3 linked regions of the Coturnix japonica genome follow. The protein of the gene in region 1 binds, or shares a complex with, the protein of each later gene. Links are inferred from orthologs where the notes say so. Each region holds a gene or a part of one and is shown in the gene's direction. Other genes may lie near its edges.

The links.
Region 2: GTF2A1 (region 1) and GTF2H5 share a complex: the UniProt entries of both Homo sapiens proteins name them as parts of the TBP-based Pol II pre-initiation complex. The link is inferred for Coturnix japonica from reciprocal best matches to the Homo sapiens genes GTF2A1 and GTF2H5.
Region 3: GTF2A1 (region 1) and POLR2K share a complex: the UniProt entries of both Homo sapiens proteins name them as parts of the TBP-based Pol II pre-initiation complex. The link is inferred for Coturnix japonica from reciprocal best matches to the Homo sapiens genes GTF2A1 and POLR2K.

What each region holds. Positions count from the first base shown.
Region 1 is NC_029520.1:37,067,095-37,070,743, reverse strand, and holds part of GTF2A1 (transcription initiation factor IIA subunit 1), read left to right. Parts: intron 1-672; coding exon 673-737; intron 738-2,808; coding exon 2,809-2,884; intron 2,885-3,649. UniProt on the Homo sapiens protein: TFIIA is a component of the transcription machinery of RNA polymerase II and plays an important role in transcriptional activation. TFIIA in a complex with TBP mediates transcriptional activity.
Region 2 is NC_029518.1:46,900,706-46,904,819, forward strand, and holds the start of GTF2H5 (general transcription factor IIH subunit 5), read left to right. Parts: upstream 1-1,170; 5' UTR 1,171-1,270; exon of another isoform or gene 1,271-1,397; intron 1,398-1,535; 5' UTR 1,536-1,617; coding exon 1,618-1,652; intron 1,653-3,900; coding exon 3,901-4,081; 3' UTR 4,082-4,114. Other genes in the region: protein SERAC1, read right to left, coding at 1-46. UniProt on the Homo sapiens protein: Component of the general transcription and DNA repair factor IIH (TFIIH) core complex, which is involved in general and transcription-coupled nucleotide excision repair (NER) of damaged DNA and, when complexed to CAK, in RNA transcription by RNA polymerase II.
Region 3 is NC_029517.1:116,286,647-116,290,872, forward strand, and holds POLR2K (DNA-directed RNA polymerases I, II, and III subunit RPABC4), read left to right. Parts: upstream 1-1,392; 5' UTR 1,393-1,412; coding exon 1,413-1,487; exon of another isoform or gene 1,488-1,518; intron 1,519-2,288; coding exon 2,289-2,352; intron 2,353-3,056; coding exon 3,057-3,149; intron 3,150-3,318; coding exon 3,319-3,341; 3' UTR 3,342-3,807; downstream 3,808-4,226. UniProt on the Homo sapiens protein: DNA-dependent RNA polymerase catalyzes the transcription of DNA into RNA using the four ribonucleoside triphosphates as substrates.

The sequences.
Region 1 (3,649 bases):
CAGCCGCTCTCTGCCTTTGGCTGTCTCAGCTCGCCGCGGAGAAAAGCACGTGCTTCCCTCGCACTGTCGTGGTTTGACTCCTACTTTGGGTACTCTTCTCTCTCTCGTTTTGTTTGATTTGGTTACATTTAGTAAATTCCCGTTCCTCCTCAGATCGTTGCCATTGTGTTTTCTCTTTGTTAGAACTATCTGCTCTCTCTCTGCCCTTCCCCCTCTCCCGGAGCGTGTGGCCCGGGGCCGGCCGGGTCGTGGGGCAAACTCTTTCCTTTCTTTTCCTTCATTCCTTTGTCTCTCCTTTTTTTTTTTCCTCCTTCTTTTTCAATCTTTTCCCGGGGCCTGTGTCCCCCTGTCACGGTCTTATATCTTGGGATAACCCCGTGACATAGCTTTCAGAAATACATTTAAAATTTTACTTTACGTAGAGTCAGAATAGGTAATAGAAGGCATCGAAGCAAAATCTGTAAAAGGCAAAATAGCCATACTGCATCTCAGAGCTGCTGTTGTATATTGTCTTGACTGTAAAACTTTTAAGATCAGAGATTGCTCAGTAGCTGTTTTTGCTGTGAAACTCACCTGGTATTTGTGTGATGTCTTTTCAAAGTTATTTTGGTTTGAATGTTATTTTTGATAGGCTGTAGTACTGATGAATTGCTGTATTTTTCCTGTTTATAGCACCTCAGCAGCAGGTTATTGTGCCAGATTCCAAGCTGATACCGCACATGAATGCATCGGGCATGGTAAGGAAAGCAGAGGCTTGTACATCTATATGCTGTCATTGTATAAGTTGTTTTGACTGAATAGTGAAAACTAATCTGGTCATCAGATGCTTAAAAGCAGGACATGTTGATAAAACTGTCTGCCTGCTTTCTGAGTTCTGCTTCTGAAATGACAATCTAGAAGTAACCAAGGACTTAGTAACACTGGACTGGACTGGGTGATCTTGGGGGTCTTTTCCAAACTTGGTGATTATCATTATGATTATCATTAATCATTATGATTTCAAGTGTGGTAAGCCTAAACTTTATTTAAATTAGAAATTGGAGTACTCTTGGTGCAAATCTGCATTATGTACTTGTCTCATGCTAATGTAACACTACTGAATGATACAAACATTGTATTTGTTAGATACAGGGAACAGCATCAGCTGTTCCGAAGTCTCAGCTTATAGCAAATGAGAGTTTATTTAGCAACTCAGATCCACCTTTTCTGCTCGTCTTATTTAGATTCTTTAATTTATAGGAGAATATAAAACAGTATGGTCATTTATTCATTTCTCTTAGTTTTTATCTCAAGAGGTTAATTTTGTTTTTGTTTTTTTAAATGCCCTGGCTTAATGAAATATATATACATATTTCATTAATATATATATATATATATTAATCATTATATATATATATATAATATATATATATAAGCATAGATAGATAGATACTTGTTTCTTGAATAATTATAATTATATTATTAATTATTATTATAAATATAATTAATAATAATTAATAATAATGATTATTATTAATAATAATTAAACAATTTAAAACCAGAATGTATTACATTTTAACTACTTTTCTGATAAAACCATGTGAAGCAATGTTTTATGATTAGTCAAGGCATTGGTAACTTTCATAACCTTAGTTCTCCATTACCTGCTGTCCTTGTTATAGAAAAGAATCTGAACTTCATTACTCAAATAGAAAGATGTATTCAGAAGCTGAGAGCATGCTAATGTCTCATGCTAATGTAAAGTATTTTACAACTGTTTCAGTGTAGTTTGTGAATTCTGCAGAAAAACAATTAAACATTTTTTCCCATCTCATTTAACAAAGTTTTGTTGATGGATATTGCAAAAATGAGGTTGTGGGGATTTTAAAACTCAGGTGCTGTCAAAACAAGAAAGAACTGTAAACTGCAGAAGACTACTATTCAATAAATACTTTTTTATAGAACTAAGTTGGAATATTTATGTGTTTCTAATAAGCTTTTAGGTTGGTATTAAATAACGTATCTGACCTCGAATGTCTTGGAGAACGGCAACTAATGAGAATTTATCTATCTGCCTTTGGGATATATGAATGCAGAAAACCACTTTAGAGTTTTGCTTGTTTTTCTGTTATTTTGGAAGTGATATTACTACTATATGGATCAGTCAGTAAGGGGAGATTATATTTCTTATAACCATGATGTTATGTACTTTACCCAGTAATGAAGTTTAAATCCTTTCAGTTGCGGAGGGTAATTTCTCATGGTTCCTCTGTAGTGAGGAAGGGAGGATTTTCAAAAGATAACTGCTGTTAGACACGTGAAGTAGAAAAACCTCTGGAGAAATCTGTCTCCCTATATGAGTCAAGGACTTAATGCAGATTTTTGTGTTTGAAACTATGTGAATTGCATTAAAATTTAATTTCTGTAAGATAGAATCACTACCCACTGAGAGTCCTTGTGACTCTTCTAACCAACTGTCTTGAGAGAAAAAAATAAGTAATTCTATGAGCAGTCAGTATGCTGTGTGTGTATATTCACTTGAAAGAATTGTGTTATTTGGCACTTGAAATGTAGATTAATTGTAGAATGAAGAAAAGTGCAAACCTGATCGCTGCTCCTTGTGAAAACAAGTGAACATAGTCACTGCTGAAGTACCTTATCTTCAAATTTGTGGGCTCATGACTTTAGCTGCTTTGAAAATGTAAAACTGCCTCCTAAGCCATGCAGTATTTTATTAGTAGGTCGGGAGAGGTACATGGTTTCAGGCAGTATGTTGTAACATGAAACAGTGGCAATAATACTTCCTAAAAAGCTTTTCTTGTATTTCAGAGTGCTGCTGCTACTGCAGCTACGTTGGCTCTCCCTACTGGTGTTACTCCTGTTCAGCAGATACTTACAAATTCAGGTAACTCTCTTAACACTGAGGTCATGTGGTGGTTTTGTGGTTGCTTGGGAGAGAGAAATTGTGGATTTTACTTGCTGACGTATATTGTTCATATATCAAAATCAGGGAAAACTAGATCTTGGACTGTTGCTCACCAGTCTTGCAAACCTAACAGATTCTTTGCAGGTCTTCCCTGCTTTTTAGACATGTTCATGAAAACGGACACTACTGGCCCAAAACTGAACACAGTACTCAGGTGCAGCCTCACCAGTGCTGAGTACAGAGGGGCAATCACCTCCCTGTTCCTGCTGCTAACACTATTTCTGATACGCCATTGGCATTCTCGGCCATATGGGCACACTGCTGGGTCATGTTAAGCCAAGTGTGACCAACACCCGCAGATTCATTTCTTCGTGCAGTCTTCCAGCCAGTCTGCCTCAAACCTGTGGAGTTGCTTGGGGTGGTAAAGGAAAACCTGAGAAAGTTTGTTTCCTAGAATCAGTTGCTTTTCTTGCCAGAATAGTTCACTTAGTCTGCTCAGAATCATCTGGAACTTAACCTTCCCGCTGTATGCATCTGAATGTGTAGTGGATACACAGTTGAAACAAAATTGGAATGTGTATCTGTTCTAGAAATTTAAGATCTTCTAATTTCTAAGGAAGAACATCTGTGCTTTAAGAAGACTATTATATTGTTTCTTATGTTATGCTTACTGTTTTCTTTTTCAGTTGCAAATATTTGTAGTATGTTTTCTTTAAGAACAGGGTATGGTAGTCTGCAGAACTG
Region 2 (4,114 bases), on another chromosome or scaffold:
TTCCTATTTGTCTACAGCAAAATATGCAGTAAGCAGCCACTGACATTCTGTATATTCAGAAAAAGAAAAAAATAAATAAATTGATTTGGCAATTACAACAGAAAACTTGTAGCCATGTTTCCCTTTTTACAGGAAAGGTTGTAAAGCATATTTATGTCATTTTGTGCGTTATAAAGCACTCTAAGTAAAAATTAAAAAGCCTATAAACTCCTGAATTTAGTAGTTTGCATTTTGGTTACAGCAAAAGTTTACAGAAAATCTTCATGCAATTACATATTTGTGCTAATACTGGTAAGTATCCATCTCTGACTACCTGCTCTGCTTTGAGGCAGAGGCATTTTTCTGTGATTCTTTACAGTGATTCTGTGATTCTTTACAGTGAGGGTGACGGAGCACTGGAACAGGCTGCCCAGGGAGGTGGTGGAGTCTCCTTCTCTGGAGATATTCAAGACCCACCTGAACGCCTTCCTGTGTGACATGGTGTAGGGAGCCTGCTTTGGCAGGGGGGTTGGACTCGATGATCTCTAGAGGTCCCTTCCAACCCCTACAATTCTGTGATTCTGTGTGAGGCCTTTTCCAATGTCTTAGTAATCCTCACTTAAACGCATCATGTTCACATGAAGACAGTGCTGAGTACAGCATATGACTTAGTAATTAGCTGTTCATAATTAATTTTATCTTAACACCCAAGTCTTGTATTTTGACTTAGCAGGCTCTAACAACTCATATACATTGTAGGCAAGTCAGATTTGGAAACGTTTGTCTTTTCTTGCTGACATACCCTGTAACATCACAGTTAATAAGGGATGTATTTTAGCATCTACAGATTGAGGTTCAATGAATGTACAGTTGTAGTGTTAAGCAATGAGGCATTTCAGGCCATGTGAAAGCACCGATTACTGTATGCACCAACTTTCTGCCCTGTCTCCTTTCAGCACTGCACTTATCCACTGACTTCATTTATTACATTTCTGATAAGCACGCTCTCCCTGCGGTCGCCTCCGCACAACTGGGGCAATGCCAGCGGCCAGCCCCACGCCAGGAGGGGCTTCAAGGCTGAGGTTTGACAAACACAATCATCGGACCACGGACAGACCCCATCCCTGGCCCCTCCTACTGCCCCGCCGCCATCCCCCTCTCTCCACAGCGCTACCCGTACCTTCCGCTTCCTATCTCCCTTCGCAGCCGGCACCGTCGCTCACGCACTCAACGTCATCACGCCGCACAGTGTCAGGAGGGCAATAGGAGGAGCGAGGGCTGCACTTGCGTAGTACGTGTATGTGGGGGCAGTGGTTGGGCTTGCTGGGCCGGAGCTACTCGTTCGCCGTCCTCGGTTTAACCTAGGGACGGGTTGGAGCCTGTCTGCCTTCGCCCCGGCCGCCTTTCGCAAGGCCACGGTTCGCACACGGCAACGGGAGGCTGGGCTGCTGTCGGAGGAGTGGGTGGGGGGATGGGGCATAGCCGCTCTGGGTGCTGGCGGGGCGAGGGGGGTCCTGGGTCGCTGAGTTCAACTAAAGCGTTTCTTTGTCTTACAGGTTTCATCTGCTGTTATCTGTAACCTCAAACAGGAGTCTTTGCTGCCACCCGCACCTTGCAGCGTTTGTGAGAGCTGCGAGGATGGTGAATGTTCTGAAGGGCGTCCTGATTGAATGGTTAGTGACAGCATCAGCATCTACTCAACTGTTTCTTTAGGACTGGAAATACTTTAGGTGCTTTTAAGAGTCTAGACCCAAAAATGTATTTGCTGTAAACTTCAGCCTGGAGAAGAGAAGGCTGCGGGGTGACTTTATTGCAGCCTTTCAATAACTGAAGGGAACCTACACCCAGGAGGGGAGTAAACTCTTCGAAAGGGCTGACAATAGCAGGACACGGGGCAATAGATCCAAGTTGAAGGAGGAAAGATTTAGGTTGGATGTTAGGGGGAAGTTCTTCACTAGGAGAGTGGTTACGCCCTAGAACAGGCTGCCCAGGGAGGTTGTGGATGCCCCGTCCTTGGAGGTGTTCAAGACCAGGTTGGACGGGGCCCTGGGCAACCTGATCTAGTAAATGTGTATGTTTGGTGGCCCTGCCAGGCAGGGGGGTTGGAACTACATGATCCTTGAGGTCCCTTCCAACCCGGGTCATTCTGTGATTCTGTGACACTGAGCAAACAGACAGATGAAAGGCATGGTTTTTAAGGGAAGAAGGAGAGAGACAGTTGTGGGTAATCTTAATTCCTGACTCATATTTTCAGATATGTTGTTTTCTGCTTAGACTTAACCATCATGTATTCATCTTGTTTGTTATATTGTAAATAATGTTAATTAGTTTTCATCCTGGGTGATGTGTTCTGATTCTAAAGGGAAATTTGTCCATGCTTCGTCTTTTGTTTTCTTTTTTTATCAATTCCAGTTCGCACACTCAAGGCTGGCTACTCTAAAATGAATATGCTCATAATTTCAGACAGTAAGCTGTTCATATCCGTGCAGTCCATTTGTTTCTATACAGTCTGAAGTCCCTAGACTAAGGTTCTGATAAGAATTACCTCCAGGTTAAAGAAAGTGTCACTCAAGGTTTGTGGAGTCATTATATATCATTACATTATGTACAGGATTTCTGCTGTATGTTTAAATTGTAAACATATTAACAGACTGTAACTGCATGAGTGCAGAACATCCTTCATGGTGCATACAGCTGTCTGCCTACTGTGGTTTACTTCTGAGCTGACTGGACATTAGCCAGCTCACATCTGAATGCCTCATAGTTTGGTATGAGCAGCTTGGAGCATGAATTCCACTATCACAAAAAGTTTCTCTGCTCCAATTTGGCTGCGTGCTACTATGCTGATAAACCTGAACGCAAGAAATGGCCTTCCTGCATTTTCTCAAGACACCCAAAGCAGAGTTGTTGACTAGCAAAACAAGAAATTCTAATATCTCAAGCAGACAGTACAGCCTTGTAGTTTTTTTGTAATTTATTTTACTTGCTCTGGAAGATTTGTGTGTTCCTGTACAATATTGTGATCATTTCCCATTTAGTATTAGCTTGAAACTTTATTATCCTCCCTGGAAGGAAATAGTTTGCCTGACAAGAAGTCTGTAGCATCTGTTATGCCATCAGAGTTTGAACAGCCCCTTGGGTAACTCACTTTTATGTTGGCTTTTCTAGCTGCTGGTTGCTTTCTTGTTTCCTTCTTGCCTTTGCATAATGGTAGCTGATGAGTCCATCCTGAGAGCAGATTACAAACCTGTCCCCTTGTTTACTTTTCAGATACCAATTTTTCACAACTCAGCTTTTCCAGGGCATCTTAGGTAAAAAGTCAGCAAGAAGTTTGGAAAAAATAAATACTTCTGAATGTGTTAAACATTAAAGTAAAACATTAAAATAAAACTATGAAATGCTGATAATATACAGATTTCTTCCTTCCCTCTGTATTATTCCAGTATATAGCTAAACTGTTCTGAGGACAAAATCTCAAGGATTATAATCTTCAAATGCTGAATAAGATCGGTGTTTCTGCTGTAACGTACATCTACTGGCACTGAGTGCACTCCTGTATGTTGATTATGTGAAAATATGTGTGTATTGCCTGACATATGCCTGGGCACACCAGCTTATGCTGTCTGGTACTCATAGTGTGTTGGTAAGGTACATCTGAAAGAAACAAGCAAAAATAAACCTCTGTGCACCCATAAAAAAGAGTGTGTGGAAGAAGACTGAGGACCACCCACTTTTGGTATCATTTTCATTGCTTCTTTGTGTAAACCTTGTCTTTCTTCTAACATTCTTTTGATTGCGAGCAGCTCTTGAAGTTGGTACAATTTTCCTAAGAACTTTGAGAATGTCTTAAAAGGATGCTCTTAATTTTTAGCTGTATCTTATTACAATGAGGTGGAATCTGATGTGTATTTGTCTCTGCAGTGACCCAGCAATGAAGCAGTTTCTGCTCTACTTGGATGAGTCAAATGCTTTGGGAAAGAAGTTCATCATACAAGACCTGGATGAAACTCATGTCTTTGTATTAGCAGAGCTGGTTAACTTCCTTCAGGAGAGAGTGGGCGAGTTAATGGACCAAAACTCTTTTCCTATTACTCAGAAGTAAAAAGATGAGAAATGAGATTGCTGCCAATTCTGA
Region 3 (4,226 bases), on another chromosome or scaffold:
AGGTGGAACGTTGTCTGCACCAAGAGCTTAAAATCTGAGATGTAAGGGTGCTGATTAATTCATTTTAATTAGCTTATTTGTACCCGACAGCTCAGGAGCTAGATAATCATACAGAACTTCTGTTTTTTCTTTCATGGTTTACGCTTACGGCTCCACCAGAAACACTGTGAGATAAAACATGCTTTAAATCGTTGGGAGTAACTCCGAATGTAACGCCTCCACCCAGGGCAGAAAGATGGAGGTTCTCCGTGGTAACTAAGGCTGAGCAGGGCGGGCTCCATCCCCCCCAGAGCGGGGAAACGGGGCGTCTCGGTGTACGGGTAGTGCGACCGGAGGGTAACTGTAACGGGTAAAAACATTAGGGTTTTTGCGCTGGTTCCTCGTTCCATTTTAGAATGCGAATTAAAGAGTTTAGAAATGGAATCCAGGGTTTCCCAAAGTGCTTTCTGTAGCAGTTTCACGCCAGTCGGAAGAATTTCTCTTCAGGACCGGCGTTTATCAGCCCGTCGGAACGGGGCTATACCCCGAGGGAGGCGGCGTGAGGCACAGAAGTAATGGACGTTTAAAAAGACTCCATCCCACCGGGGAGCAGTTAAATGATGGATATAATCAAGATAATGAATGATTTTCTCGGGACAATCGATATATATTTTTTTCTCATGGGGTATAATTAGTAAGTAGGTTTTAAAGCATCACCTCGATGCTTTAATCATTTCGTCAAACCCGTTTTAAAATACAAAACGAGTGCGGGGAAAGATTATCGGCTTTACTTTAATTTCAGTGATTAGTTACTTGTGAGGTGTTAATTACTTTGTGTCCATCACCGGAGGAAGGGATCGTTCCGTTTTGGTTGGTTGATTTTTGCTCCCGGCAGCAGCTCCCACCTCGGAGGACCCGGGGCAGCGAACATCACTGCCGTGCACGTCCCGTTATTCTTACATGTGTTTTATTCCGGCACTAAGAAGTTACACTTAACTTTATTTTCGCACAGCAGCAAGACAAAGCCGATGAGCCGCCTAGAAATCCTTAGCACGTTGTTATTACTTCTAGCTTTCCCCAGGAGACGGTTGTTATTCGGCGTTCGGAAAGACGCATTTCCTCACATCAGGGAGATGTTATCTACAGAGCAGTATTTGTTATACGTTCTTACGTACCTGAGGACGTGCCATTACTCACACAGGGACGCCTAAGGGGCACCCAGCACTCGCCCAGCTGTAGGGCTGAGCCGGTGACTGACAGCACCGCGGCTTGCCAGTTTGTTTCAATGCGGGAATACATGGCACAGACCGCAGGGTACCGAGATTTAGTTACCAGCGCCAGGCTCAGCTCACTAGCGCTTCCAACTCTCACTCCCCCAAGGCTCCATCAGCCGCTATCCGCTGTAAACCCGACACAGCGCCTTAAGGACGGCGATGCAGACCCGCCCCCTCCGGCTTTGCGTAGTGACGCCATCATTCGGCGCCGAGGGGACGGCGAGGAGTGTGGAGGTTGGTGCCGCTTTCGGCTTATCCCTGCCGGGTTGGTGGTGGTGGTAGATTCGGGGTGAGGGGGGAGTGGGGAAAGGGTCGACCAAGCCCCTGGGGGTCAGTGGGGAGGAGGCGTGGCTGGCGCTGAACCGAGGCGGGCTGGGGGGGGATCATTGAATCATAGGCTCATAGAATGAGCTGGGTTGGAAGGGACCTCAAGGATCATGTAGTTCCAACCCCCCTGCCTGGCAGGGCCACCAAACATACACATTTACTAGATCAGGTTGCCCAGGGCCCCGTCCAACCTGGCCTTGAACACCTCCAAGGATGGGGCATCCACAACCTCCATGGGCAGCCTGTTCTAGGACCTCACTGGTCTCCTAGTGAAGATCTTCCCCCTAATATCCAACCTAAGTCTACCCTCTTTCAGCTTAAATCCATTTCCCCTTGTCCTGGTATTATCAAGAAGGGGAGAAAAAATGCTTTCTTTCTCTGTATGGTCACAACCTTAAAACGTAGGTCTGCAGTAATACCTACATGTTAGGTGGGGGTTGCTAAAAAATGAATTGTTTGTGGAGTAGTTGTCTGATATTGTGAAGGAATGTTGGTGAACCTGAAGGCAAAAGGTTAGCGTGCCAGGACAAACAGAAGTCCTTTCCAATGTGTATCATCTTATGTAGCATATATTAAACAGAGCTTGAATATTTTTGTATTTATTTTAAAAGAACTTTTTCAATTTCTGTCAACTTTAGATGGAGATATTGAAATATTTGTGTAAGACAACAACAAAAAACATGTATTTTATTTGTTGTTTTTGCTTAGAACATGGATTCACAGAAGGACGTTCAGCCCCCAAAGCAGCAGCCAATGATTTACATTTGTGGAGGTAAAGAAAAGACATTAGTGGTATTCAATGCTCTAATAATGAGGAATGTGCAGTCATAGTGCCACAGAGTACAGAAATCTACATAACTGGGTTGTGGATCCTGATGATGCATTAAGCTTTATGCACTGATGCTCCCATATGCATGGATTACTTGTGGTTATTGATGTGGAAGTCGTTCACTAGAACCTCTGTTGCTGTGTGGGGGTCCTGCATCTCTAGAGGATGATAGCAGAACTTTTATATATTGCATCTTGGAGACAAAGTTTTTTTGGAAATAGTGTTGTCATTCAACTTTCACTAATGCACAGTTGTCAGATTTTCTCTACCTAAACATAAGTTAATAAAGTGAAAATTGGAGCTTTTGAGTAACCACTTTAAAAGCCTCAGAAAAATTTAGGCTTAAGAAAATAAACTTGGTGGCTCGGAGGGGCTGAGAGGAAGGTTTCATTAGTGGAGTGTGGAATGGTACAGTAATGTTTGGATACTTTTTAGCAATCTAAGTTTGCCAATTCTTTTTTTTTTTTTTTTCCTTAACAGTATCTTAATATAATTCAGTTACTTATTAAAATTCACTGCAATTATTTTCTGTTATGCTTTGTTTGCTAGTAAAAGGAATTAGACCATTGTTACATCTGAAAGCTATCTGTGCTTTAGATATGCTGCTTTTGTTCACTCATTGCTATTCTCCTTCTCCATCATATCAGAATGTCATACAGAAAATGAAATAAAGGCAAGAGATCCGATCAGATGCCGAGAGTGTGGGTACAGAATAATGTACAAGAAAAGAACAAAAAGATGTATCCTTTTACAAAGGCAGTCGAATGCATTTGGGAAGCTGTGGGGCAAGCTGTGTAAGAAAATTGACTTCAGATTTATGCATTCCCTCTTTTTGTTCTCCTTGACCCCTTTCCTCCCCTGATCTTTCCTTGAACTGCAACGCATTTTTCTTTAACTGCACAATTCCAGTGGTGGTTTTTGATGCCCGGTGATTTGACCTGAAGATACATCAATTTTATACTTCAGTTTAATATTTCTGGCAACTTTGCTCTGTAAATCCATTGGTGTATAAATGCATAGTTTAGTGGTTTAAGATATTAAAATATTAAACTTCACTGTGATACTACTTGCCATACCATCTCAATTCTGTCTATACTACTTTTAGAAATGGGTTTCTTCCTTAAACTTTAGTCAGAATGTGCAGCATTCTGTTAAATTCATTGGTATTATATTCATTTTTGAGTTAAGTGTTAACCTTGTTTTCACAGCTCACACCTAAGCCTTACCTGTGTTTCAGCTCTTCAGTGTTTTTTGGACTCCTGTGAACTGCATAAGATAATCTTGGTTTGAATAAATCCCAGTGAAGACATATTGAAAGTCACGCAAAATCAGGTCTGAAATTTGGATTTGAACTCGACAGGACCCAAATCAGGATAAAAATAAATGTGTAAATAGAGATTCTCAGGCTGTTTTGTGACCTTGCTTGTACTCACTAAAATAAGTAGGTCTACAGTATAAAGAAACCTTGGATAAGGTAAAACTGAAATAACGTCATTTTGCTTTTCGGATGATTTCTCATGAGTCTGTATTAAGAAGTGGTTGCCGTTTTGTACTGATAAGCCCAAACTTTTTGCATCCATTTTCCTGTTCAGAACATTTATATTCAGAATATTTAATACTAAAATACCCATAGCGCCAATTTGTCTTAAAAAACACTGCTGCTTTGTGTGTGGTGCTAATTTAGCCTGATTAAATGCTTGCAAATCCAAATTTTGTTTCCAGTGCTGATGAGGCTGTTGAAAGACAAACATGTCATTTCACTGTTATCTGTACAGTATGATACCACTATTAGGGGGTGTGCTGGCTGCTGCAGAAAG